3 linked regions of the Danio rerio genome follow. The protein of the gene in region 1 interacts with the protein of each later gene in a biochemical or structural test. Links are inferred from orthologs where the notes say so. Each region holds a gene or a part of one and is shown on either strand. Other genes may lie near its edges.

The links. The genes of interacting proteins can lie anywhere in the genome.
Region 2: the proteins of runx1 (region 1) and fosab form a complex in vitro, tested with the Homo sapiens proteins (2 studies listed by BioGRID). The link is inferred for Danio rerio from reciprocal best matches to the Homo sapiens genes RUNX1 and FOS.
Region 3: the proteins of runx1 (region 1) and dtx2 form a complex in vitro, tested with the Homo sapiens proteins (2 studies listed by BioGRID, with this or other methods). The link is inferred for Danio rerio from reciprocal best matches to the Homo sapiens genes RUNX1 and DTX2.

Annotation. Positions count from the first base shown.
Region 1 is NC_133176.1:2,048,466-2,052,423, reverse strand, and holds part of runx1 (runt-related transcription factor 1), read left to right. Parts: intron 1-2,969; coding exon 2,970-3,484; 3' UTR 3,485-3,958.
Region 2 is NC_133195.1:49,906,078-49,910,366, forward strand, and holds fosab (v-fos FBJ murine osteosarcoma viral oncogene homolog Ab), read right to left. Parts: upstream 2,653-4,289; 5' UTR 2,542-2,652; coding exon 2,437-2,541; intron 2,210-2,436; coding exon 2,000-2,209; intron 1,885-1,999; coding exon 1,777-1,884; intron 1,688-1,776; coding exon 1,061-1,687; 3' UTR 539-1,060; downstream 1-538. UniProt on the Homo sapiens protein: Nuclear phosphoprotein which forms a tight but non-covalently linked complex with the JUN/AP-1 transcription factor. In the heterodimer, FOS and JUN/AP-1 basic regions each seems to interact with symmetrical DNA half sites.
Region 3 is NC_133180.1:65,408,167-65,412,760, reverse strand, and holds the start of dtx2 (probable E3 ubiquitin-protein ligase DTX2), read right to left. Parts: upstream 2,839-4,594; 5' UTR 2,326-2,838; coding exon 2,004-2,325; intron 1-2,003. UniProt on the Homo sapiens protein: Regulator of Notch signaling, a signaling pathway involved in cell-cell communications that regulates a broad spectrum of cell-fate determinations.

The sequences.
Region 1 (3,958 bases):
ATTTCTGTCAATTGGATAAACTAAATTGGCCATAGTGAATGAGTGTGTGTGAATGAGTGTGTATGGGTATTTCCCAGTACTGGGTTACAGCTGGAAGGACATCCGCTGTGTAAAACATATGTTGGAATAGTTGGTGGTTCATTCCGCTGTGGCAACCCCTGATGATTAAAGGGACTAAACTGAAGGAAAATGAATGACTGAACTACTATATTTTGCCAGTGATACTCTAAAATTTACAACCGTGCTGTAAATTAACAATTACAATGCTGTAGTTAAAAAAAAAACAGATTTCAAAACACTTCACAGGGATCTTTAATTTTTGGGTGTACTGTCCCTTGAAAGGTCTCATTAAATTAAAATGTTCTTAAAAAGGTTTTCAGATGTAAGTATCAGTATTGTTAGATATTAATATATATATATATGTATATATATATATATATATATATATATATATATATATATATATATACAGTTGAAGTCAGAATTGTTAGCCCCCTTAAATTATTAGACCGCTTGTTTATTCTTTCCCTAATTTCCGTTTAAGGGAGAGCAGATTTTTCCAACATGTTTCTAAACATAATAATTTTAATTACTCATCTCTAATAACTGATTTATTTTATCTTTGCCGTGATGACTGTAAATAATATTTTACTAGATATTTTTAAGACGCTTCTATACAGCTTAAAGTGACATTTAAAGGCTTAACTAGGTTAATTAAGTTAACTAGGCAGGTTAGGGGAATTAGGCAAGTTATTGTATAACAGTGGTTTGTTTTGTAGACTATCAAGAAAAAATATAGCTTAAAGAGGCTAATAATTTTGTCCCTAAAATGGTTCATAAAAAATTCAAAACTGCTTTTATTCTAGCCAAATTAAAACAAATAAGACTTTCTCCAGAAGAAAAAATATTATCAGACATACTGTAAAAATGTCCTTGCTCTGTTGAAAACCATTTGGAAATTATTTAAAAAAGAAGGAAAAAAATCGAAGGGGGCGAATAATTCTGACTTCAACTGTATATATATATATATATATCATGTGCTCAAAAACAGTAATTGTAAAAAAAATATATCTTCACACTTAGAAGATATAAAACTAATATAAAAATATACAGCAATGTATAGAAGAGGACTCTCACATTTTTGGGTGTACTGTCCGTTTAAAATGAGCTGAAACAATACAATTGGTGAGTTTTTTTTTTGACGGACAACTTTTAAGTAACCTAATTCCTGTTTTTCCCAACACAAACTGATTTTTGGGTGTATTGTTCCTGTCAGTTTAGTTTAGTTTAGTTTAGTTTAGTTTAGTTAACTTTATCTCAGTTATAGTAGATCATAGTTTTGTCATATATATATATATACAGATTCAGGAAATATTCACAATATATCTGATAATATTTGTTCTTCTGGAGAAAGTCTTATTTGTTTTATTTCGGCTAGAATAAAAGCAGTTTTTAGTTTTTTAAGCACCATTTTAAGGTCAATATTATTAACCCCTTTAAGCTATTTATTGTTTGATATTCTACAGAACAAACCATCATTATACAATAACTTCCTAACCTGCCTAGTTAACCTAATTAACCTAGTGAAGCCTTTAAATGTCACTTTAAGCTGTATAGAAGTGTCTTGAAGAATATCTAGTTTAATATTATTTATTGTCATTATGGCAAAGAGAAAATAAATCAGTTATTAGAGATGAGTTATTAACACTATTGTGATTAGAAATGTGCTGGAAAAATCTGCATATATTTACATATACACTACCAATCAGAATTTCGGGGTCAGTTTTTTAATATTTATTTATTTATTATTTTCTGTTCATCAAGGCAGCATTTATTTAACAAAAATAAATATTTCTTATTGTAGTTAGTTTTAAATGAAATTATTACTCAGGTCATTACTGCTTTTTTACCAAAATAATAATAACGATAATAATAATCATAATAATGATTAAAATAAGTGCGATTTCTGAAGAATCATGTGACTGAAGACTCTGAAAATTCATCTTTAAAATCACTAAAGTAAATGATTAAATTAAATGATAAACTGCTGTTGCGCAGTTATTTTATAGTGCAATAATATTTCACAATTGTACAACTTTTACTGTATTTGTGATTAAATAATATATATATATATATATAGTTAAAGACAGAATTATTAGCCCCCCTGTTTATTTTTTTCCCCAATTTCTGTTTAATGGAGAGCAGATTTATTCAACACATTTCTAATCACAATAGTGTTAATAACTCATCTCTAAATCTCTAATAACTGTTTAAATTTAATAAAATTAATAAATTAATAAATAAGTTAATAAATTTATCTTTGTTAGGGTAATTAGGCAAGTTATTGTATAACGATGGTTTGTTCTGTAGACTATCAAGAAAAAAGATATAGCTTAAAGGGGCCAATAATATTGTCCTTAAAATGGTGATTAAAAAATTAAAAACTGCTTTAATTCTAGCCAAAATAAAACAAATGAGAGTTTCTCCAGAAGAAAAAATATTATCAGACATACTGTGACCATTTCCTTGCTCTGTTAAACATCATTTAGGAAATATTTAAAAAAGAAAAAAAAATCTACTGTAATTGAGATAAAGTACTTTAATAAATCAAATATTTTTAACAGATTGGTTTTCAAGCACCTTAAAACAATTTGACATTCAGGTAGGAGGTAATAATAATACTGAAGCACTGTGATGATGGACTGAAGGCTGAGGTCTTTTAGAAACAAGCAAAACAACATTTCAGATCTATTACAATGTAAAGCTGGAATCGCTGCTTGGTCCATTAATGCGTCCGTCACACACATTTATATCTGATCATCATCTGTCAGAAACGAAACCTCATCATGCAGACTGATGAAGCGCATGCTGGAGGATATTCATTACATGTGTTTCCATGGTAGTTTACCTGCAGACCTTATATTTTGGGGTGTACTGTCCCTTTAAGAGCATCTGCTGTGTTTCCGCAGGTCCAGAGCTGACGGCGTTCACAGATCCCCGTGTGGGTTTGGAGCGCTCCTTCCCATCACTCCCATCTCTCCCAGATGGGCGTTTCTCTGACCCGCGGGTGCCGTACCCCACCGGCGCCTTCACCTACACCCCCACGCCCGTCACCAGCGCCATCGGTATTGGCATGTCAGCCATGAGCAGCCCTGCGGGACGCTACCACACATACCTGCCGCCGGCGTACCCCGCGGGCTCCTCGCAGGCCCAGGCTGGAGCCTTCCAGGCGAGCTCGTCCCCATATCACCTGTACTACAGCAGCGCTGCGGGCTCCTACCAGTTCTCCATGATGCCCAGCGGAGGGGCGGCAGCAGGGGAGCGCTCGCCGCCCCGAATCCTACCCTGCACCAACGCCTCCACAGGCTCCGCCCTCCTGCACCCCTCGCTCCCCAATCAGAGCGAAGGAGTGGTGGAGGCGGAGGGAAGCCACAGCAGTTCGCCAACCAGCATGTCTGTAGAGGCCGTCTGGAGGCCATACTGACAGCCAATAGCACGCCGGCAGCTCATTTAAAGGGACAGTTCACCCAAAAATGTACTTACTATTTCCAAATCTGTGAGTTTCTTTCTTCAGTTAAACACTAGAGGAGATATACTAAAGAAAGCAGAGATCTGTTGACTTCCATAGTAGAAAAACACATAAAAGTCAATTAATTTGACATGCTTTAGACTTTATTTTGAACAAATTAAATTAAATCAAATTATAAAAACAGCCAGAAAAGAGAAACTGATGTGTTTCTGTCATCATTAATGCCCCATCAGTGCATTTCCATGCTTTTTTATATGGTTTCTTTTCTAATTTGCATGTTAAGTGCAATTAAATTCTAAAATAAAATGTAAAGTCAAAGCATAAATAGGATATATGCACAGCTAGTGTTTCCTCCCATACCGATAATCTTCCGGTGAACGGTTAATATGACTTTTTTCAGATTTATACAGTTTCTTTTACAGCATTGAT
Region 2 (4,289 bases), on another chromosome or scaffold:
TTGTTAGGTTTGGTTGGGGGTGGGTATTAAAAAATAAAATGTATTGGGTAATTTAATAGATAGCTTTCCCAGGAATGGGTTGCAGCTGGAAGGGCATTCGCTGCATAAAAACGTGCTGGATAAGTTGGCGGTTCATTCCGCTGTGGCGACCCCAAATTAATAAAGGGGCTAAGCCGACAAGAAAATGAATGAATTATTTTAACAGATAGCATAAGTAATACTCCATACATCGACTGTTTTTACATTACTGTGATAGTTGGGGTGGGGGAAGCCGTTAATAGAATACAATTAATAGGAAATTTAATAAATAATATAAATCTCGCTAACATCCGGCCGCAACCATATGTGATCTATAGATGATTAACCATGTGGATGGACGATAACAGCCTTCTCAGTCTACTTAGTTAACTTCCATCCTCAACCGTATTTGATCTAGCAACAAATGTGCAGTGTTGGTTGTCCTTCAGGAACATGGTTGGGAAACACTGCTGTAAACTGTATTTTCAAGCCACACAATAAGCTCGCATTCACACAAATCTTTTAGTTTATACATTTAATATTTATTGTGTCTAGTTTTTTTTGTTTGTTTTTTGCAAACAATTCGCAAGTTCACATTTCAGTACAAAAATAAAAACTCCATAAATTAAAAGAGAGACTACGTTTTCACAGAAAACTTCATACTTGGACGTCAGACCATTTAATGCAATGGTTAGGCAGCACACATTTGAGTAAACAACATTCACACGTTCAGAAATCAACCGTTAAACGGCCGAAAAAAAATAACATGATAGTTCTCTATTGCTCAGAACACACTAAATACAACAAATCTAGCACCGGTAAACTCAGAAAAATAACTATATTAGGTTAACTCAACACTAACCAGATCATTAATGCAAATAAAATCAGTTGATCCATGCTTATCTTGCTACATGTGGCAGGCATGTATGGTTCAGATAAATATAGGAAGCAATATCCATTGCTTTAGAGTCACTTCCATAGCCCTGCAATGCCATTCGAAATCAAGTCACAGATATAAATACTAATAGTCTTTAGTGGAATCTCAAAGAGTGAGGAGGGTTGGGGAATTCAAGGAGTCGGACGACTGATCGTTGCTGCTGCTGCCCCTGCGATGCACTGATGTCGGGAAGACGTCGTTTTCTGGGTAGGTGAACATGAAGGAAGACGTGTAGGTGGTGCAGGCTGGAGTGCAGGTGACGACGGGTGTGCAAAGCGGCTCCAGGTCAGTGTTAGCCGGCGTGTAGAGCGGCTCCCAGTCTTGAGTGTACAGAGAGTTGGACAGGTCCATGTCTGGAACCGAGCGAGCCGTTTCCAGCTCCGCTTTAGCCAGGAGCTCCAGAGACTCCTCTAGAGTGGGCTCCAGATCAGAGATCTTCACTGTGGTGGAGCTGAAGCTGTCGGTGGAGGCCGTGCTGGAGAACAGCAGGCTGCTGGAAGAGGTCGTGATTGATGTGTTTGGTGTGGAAGAGACCACTGAGGTAGTGACGATCTCTGGGACTGAGATGGAGCCCATGGGAGAGGAGGACGGCTCTGGGAAGCTGGCGTCGGCCGGGATCTTGCAGATGGGTTTGTGTGCGGCGAGGATGAACTCTAACCTCTCTTTTTCTTTGAGCAGGTTGGCGATGTCGTTCTGCAGGGCGGATTTTTCATCCTCAAGCTGGTCAGTTTCCTGTTGTGGAACATCAAAGGGTTAGTTTAATGATGTCATGGATGGAACGAGCTAGAATGGGATTTGGAGGGAAAATGCAGAATACTTACAGCTTGCAGTGTATCGGTGAGTTCACGTCGACGGTTGCGGCATTTCGCAGCAGCCATCTTGTTTCGTTCACGACGTACTCTTTTCTTCTCTTCTTCTTCTGGAGAAAGCTGCAGAAGCACAAAAATAAGGGTGTTTTAGCATTGGCAAATTAACATTCAAAATGTAGATTGTCAGTTGTTTGTCAGTTGATTTTAAAACAAAAGTTAATTGCAAATTATTTACCTGTTCAGATCTGCTTCTCTTGTTGGAGGTCTTTGCTCCAGTAACCCTCATTTTGGGGTAAGAGCTCGGGTTGTAGGATTGAGCTGCGCCGTTGGAGGGCGCCACAGAGGAGATCATGGGCTGGACCATCCACTGCAAGTCCGGGCATGAAGAGATCGCCGTGACAGTTGGCACGAAAGAGGCACTTGAGACACTCAGATCCGTGAACTCCTGAAATATAGAATATGAAATCGTTTATTATATGATAAACAATATATTTTGATTAGTCACAAAACTAATATATATACAATTTATTTGTTTATATTACTGTTTATGGGGTTTCATTCAGATTATAACATAATACAGAACATAATATACTTTAAAAACATAAATAAACTGACTTAAATCATGATTTATCTGAAATGATCATTCTAAATATATTGCTGTCATGTAAATACCTGAGTCTGGTTGAGCGGGTAATACCCGACGCTGTCGCCGCTCGGTGAAGCCGTGCTGCACCGGGAAGACGCGTCGCAGTCGGCGTTAAGGCTGGTAAACATCATCCTGTCAAAAGTCGAAAAGCACGAGCTATCCAGCGCTAATATATCCAGAAAGTTAAAAACGCTCCGGTCTTGTATTTCCTTGCTCGTCTGCTGCTCTTTTCTCTGTTTTGGTATCCAAAGTTTGACTGCCGCTCCACAGCGCTCGCGGGGTTTATATCCAGATCTGTGCCTGACGTCAAAGGGAGGGGCGTGGCCATGTGCGTTCAGTGTTTGCATAGAAACGTTAAAAACACGTCTTCGCGAGCGCATTTTACTGAATACATTATCGAAACATTAATAATGCAAGAATACACGCTTAATACGTAAGATTTTATCTTTAAAAACATTCGCATGTTGTTATTTCTGGGTGAAACGGAGTGAAAGAGACGATGTTCCGTAGCAGGGTATCCCAAGACGTCATTTAACTTATATGGAAAACATCCTGAAGAGGCGGAGTGCTTATGGGAAATACTCTGTGCAAGTGAGCAGCATTATGTAAAGATAGTTCGAGAAGATTTCAATGTTTTACAAGTAAATAAATAAATAAAAACAGCATTTAACAGAATATACTTATTATATCAGCTCTAAATGTATTTTTATTATAGTTTATGAACTTGATTTAATGACTTTATATTATTTTCTTGACACAATCATTTGATCAAAATTGAATATGTCTTTTTAAGTACATATCACGTCCATGCTGTGTTTACATGGCACCTGTTGTCCTAGATTTCATCATTTCTGTGCAGAAGTATTCAAAGTCTTTCATGCCCCGGGCTGTGTTCGTACCTTTGGGTGTATAAAGGGCGTGTCGACTCATAAACCACGTATTTCCAGTGTGAACTGCCTTCACACGGTTAACGAGGGATTCCTTTGTAACAAAATGCTGAGCTCATTTATTTCCTCAGCCTATTGCATCACAGTAAATAATAATAATGCAAGATTTGTAGTAGTCTAAATGTGTTAAATCTGCTATATTCAATACATTTTTCAATATATACGTTATAGTATATTTAATAAAATATATGAATCACTATATTATGTATTAAAATCATCTACATCAGTTCAATCATGTTTATTTAGGGACCATTTTTGTATTGCTCATCATTAATTGTCCGTATTTATACGTTTATCATGTATAAAAGTCTTCGTTTATTACTTGTCTGCCGTTGGCTACGGGCAAACATGAGGTTTGTTATTGATTAACAAGCGAAAACAGCTCTATCAGCGTTCCCATGTGACGTCACTGATCCACTTCTCTGCTCGTGTTTTGTTTGATCTTCCGCGTTGTCTAAGCGACGCCCCTCCCACTGTCGTCACTGCAACACGAGCCTGTGCAAATGAACTCTGAAGTTTCACCTTTCAGCAGCGAGAGTCTGCTTTGTGTATTGCCGGTAAATAAACACGCCGCTTTGATTGTGTATACTTTACGGGTAGCAAAAAACTAAATTGCAACGTTTTATAGTCGAAAATAGTTTTGGTATAAACACAATAAATGCTTTTGACTTCCACATCCGACACCTTTAACCCTTTTCTAGATGTTTAACATGAAATGTTTGTCTGTAAATGTGAAGAATTTACACTGCGCCAGTTCTCTAGTTCATTTAGCATTTGCTTGTTCTCAAGGTCACGAGTCTACAATGCTTAGACGTATTCTTAAATGCTGATGTATTTACACACATCCAGTTTTAATAAGCAATTTATAAGGTTTAGTCACCTTACATAAGCATAGTAACACAACTGTGTGATTATCGAATAGTAGGTGACAT
Region 3 (4,594 bases), on another chromosome or scaffold:
CATCTATATGAGTATATATAAAGCCTATGTGTCATACTGCAGCACACTACACTGCTTTTCCCAGCAGCTTTGATGACCTGTTATCAAGGATAAAGCATAAATACCATACATTTAGAGCAAGTGAATTAATCAGTTTCAGCCAAGATTCACACAGGGCTTCTTTCACTCTGTGGATTTTACAGACTCTTCCTTGACAACACATTTACTTAATCCAAATGAGCAAAAAGCACATTTCCCTAACACTCTCTTAAAGTGCTGTGGCAGTACTAGACAGTAATAACTTCACATATCGTAGTATAACAGTCCAAGACAAGTAAAAATGTATATATTAATATAATTTAATGTTACATTCAAAAAATATTTTGTTTTGCTCGTTTAACTACTTATTTAAAATGAGCTGAAACAACATAATTCTTGAGAGTTCATTCGGACAACTTAATTTTTTTTATGTTCGATCCACATTAATTTGTTAAAAGTGTTAAATTAATTAATCGATTTGTGTTGGAACAACATGACTGAATTATGTGGAACCCGGCATTTTTTACAGTGTATGAAAGAGGTCTCTCTCTACTGCAAAGTTTAAATTATTTTTCTTTGTTTACATTATTAAAAAGTCATTTTTTTATGCAACACCTTGCAAAGCAATTCTGTTTAATAGATGCATAATAGATGTCTAATAGATCCATCTTGGCTAAATAGGCTGTCAGTGAACATCTAATAGACGTCTAAGAACAGCCCAAAACTAGACTAGTGCTCAAATACACCGATTAGACAGACTCCACACGTGTGCAGTCATTCATTCCTGTGGTTTTGATAACTAGTTTAGGGCCATTCTTAGAGGTCTATTAGATTTTCACTGACAAACCACGTTTGGCAATGTTTTATCTAGCCTTAGATGTCTATTAGACATCTATTAGATCTCATTTTAAACAAAAAGAAAATGCTTGCCATACGTAAAACATGGATATTCACTTTCACACAATTGTTTTGTAATTCATCACCTGAAGTGATGCTTTCATTTGCCTAAAATATTATAAAATATGTTGATTAAAGGGATCGTTCACCCAAAAATGAAAACTAAAATTATAAAACACTATTTGATTAATCTATATATTCGATTAGTCATCAAATATGCAGATTAAACAGATCATTAGTCATTCATTTCTGTTTATTTGATGACTAGTCGAATGTTGGCCGATTCTTAAATGTCTATTAGATTTTCACTGACAGGCCAAATTTAGCCTTGTTTTAGCTATCCACATTTCCTGCTGGGTTTCGTGTAATTTCAGGTGTTTCATTTTTAAGTTGTCGACTTTTACTGCAGTTTGGTACTTTCACTTTCATTCTGGAACATTTCATGCATGCGCCCCATGACAAATAAGAAATTGCATGCGAGTATGAACTGCTAGAAGAGTGTTGTTTTAATGTAATATGATGAGGGAAAATAAACCTCCGCATTTTGTGATGCAGGTGTCTGTGGTCCTTCATTGACTCGAGAGATGCAAAGAATAGTGTTTGTACAGCCATATAGACTATCCTGTCGCAAATTTCACTGAAAGTCCTACATGTTTATATATCTGTACTACATTTCAATAATGCGACTAAATGTCTTAATTTGATTTCTGTTTAGTAAGATTAAGACCTTAATCAAATTAAATTAATCATAAATCTCTGTTTACATGGTAGACAATGCTTTATCAGAGCATTATTGGTGTCCATATTAACACACTGAAGAATTTATTATATTCATTTAGCCTCACATTTACTGTTCCAAGATATTTTAAACGTTTCTTAAAGTAAAATATATTCTGTTTGATGGGAATAGTTTGTTAGACATTTAAAATAAAACTGTTTTATAGCATTAACATTAATCACAATACGGCGATATTTGTGTGCAAGGTTTTCATACCATCCGAATCTTATACAGGCCCATGTACAGCTACAAGTTTCATAGTACTTTTTTGCTGTTATTCATCAGTTTGATGTGTTGAGTACAGACTCACCAGTGTCCTGTCTGAACTGTTTGAGGTTGGGGATGTCGATGATGTAGGAGGACAGGCTGGGGTCTGCCTGAGCCAGACAGATGCTGCTCCCGGCGACCGCTGCCCCTCTCTGGTGCTGGAGGCACTGCTCGATGTAGCTGCTCACCTGTCCGGTGTAGGGCCTCCAGAAGCCCAGATCATCCTGCCATTCCCAAACCACCGCCATCGGCTGAGCTTGTCCGGGCACCCCAGACGAGGTGACAGACGAAGTCGACGGCGAAGCGAAAGACGGTCCGTTTCTAGTTCCACTCCCTCCGGAAGGGAAACTGGAGCCTGTTGCCATTGTGTCTGCTAAGAAATGACCCCAACCGATCCTAAAATAAGCCGGAGTTAAGCAGTGGGGCTGCCTGGCCCAGCTAACAACAACACCACCACCCTTTCAGTTTCACTCGTTTTCCACCCAGCTAACCCGCAGTATCCTATAAGAGATCGCTCGATGTCGTTAAAACTGTGTTTAATTCAGGAGTGAACATTTATTTATCCGCAGATTTGAAGGTAATCCCACTGATGTCGCATCTTCTTTGCTCGGCTGCTGGAGTCGCAGCTTCAGACTAGCCGCGTCTCGCTCTTCTCTTCGCCATTCAGTGCGATGCTGCTCGGCTACCGGGCTCATTAATCGGATTCATGTAAAATAACAGTTTCTGTTAGGTCGGCAGGCGGCTAATGCTGCATGGTCGTGATTTAAAACTCGCCGCTCGGCATGGTTTTTAAAAGTACGCAGTGGTTTGTGACACACTTCCTCTGCTGCGGTGTGTGTTTGTGTCGCTGCTGGTGGATTCCCATAGATACACACTGTGAAGGCAGACACAAACAGCACCCGTCTTGTTGTCGGTATGTTTACATTTTAAATTGTTCAAATATAAAAGCAATGTCGATTTTTTTAAATGACTACTGTCTATTCTTTGTTTATGCTTTGCTATGGTTAACTTCAAAATTTGAATGCTTATCTTTATATTGCGTACGTTGTCAACGGCAGATGGCTTTTATTTTAAAAGCGTAATACACTGACTAATAACAAAATAAAAGTCACGCTGCGTTTTTCTTTGTAGATGACGTTCATAAGTGATTTATTGTGTTACAACCACTGATCTATAATAGAGAAATAATGTTTCTATAAATACATTTTAAATATGGTATTTGTGGTTAAACACAAGAATCCCACTTAAATATCTGTAATACACGAGTTCTCAATTGTACCAAAATATTAGTCAGAATTAATTAATGTGTAATTAAATGTAATTAATGTGTAATAAAACTTTTGTCATGTAAGATCTGAATCCTGAAACTTTAATAGAATTTGTAATTGTGTCAATGGTAATTGTATTGGTTGTAATGGAAACTGCAAATGTTTCCTGTGAGTCTCTTGTTGCCTGTATGCTTTGTTTTTGTGGTATGTTAAAACTAATAAATCTTATTGTAATACGTTTTTTTGCATTACACTGGAAACCATAACAATTTTCATTACAATAGCCTGTGGTTTACAACGTGTTAATTGTAACCTACCACTGTAAATGAAAACTGTAAAGATGAAAATGTGTGATCCTGTCTTCAATCCAGTAGGTGGTGCTAATGCTATCCTGATGTGTCAGGAAAATAATCTCCATTCATCTAAACTCAATCTGAAGTTGTTTCTAAATAACTTTAAAATAATTCTCAGTATACGCGTAAAGCTTCAGTGCATAATTACACACACACGCACACGTTTATGAGGACATTACATGGTCGTAATGTATTATATACTGTAAAAAAAACGATTATTATACACCCTACCCCTAAACCCAACTTCAAATGAAACATGACAAACTTTGTAATGTCAAAAGACCCTGTTAAGTATGACTTTAACCGTTTTGATTTACAAGGACACGTGTAATGTCCTCATTAACCACCACAACATTGTAATGCCTAGGTCATACAAAATTTTGTCCTCATAAACCACCAAAAACCAGCGCACACACACACACACACACACACACTCACTTTAATAAAAATATACTTTTAGTTTAGTATAGCTCTTAGATGACTGTGGTGTACCTTTTTCATACGAAAACTTTATGCATCAGTTCTATTTTCCTGTTCCCCCTAAATAATATGCCATAGTTTTTGGTACAATCCCTGATTGTATTATACCTTTGGTCAAATCTGGCCCTAAAGGTTCTTTAGATTCTTTTATTTTTGACAACACAAATCTTTTTGTTGACAAAACTCTTCTCAGTTCTATGTCTAGCAAAGATATTCGCTTCGTTATTACTAGTTCTCGGATCTCTTTACCTGCTTGCATAGGTTTTTGGAATAATATATTTGATGATGTGGATTGGGAACAGTTTCTTCAGTTTAAAAACAGATTAAAATTTTTTTTTATCTAATAAAGCTGTTGAAGTCTAAATCAAAGTAATTCATAAGTGCTACTAAATAAACATCAAACTTGCTAAATTTAATAATAATATTTCCCCTAAAGGCTTATTTTGTAGTCAATATGATAAACGCTAAACCATTTATTTTGGGAGTGTACTTACCGTAAAGTGTTTTGGGTTGACTTTTCCGATTTCATTAAA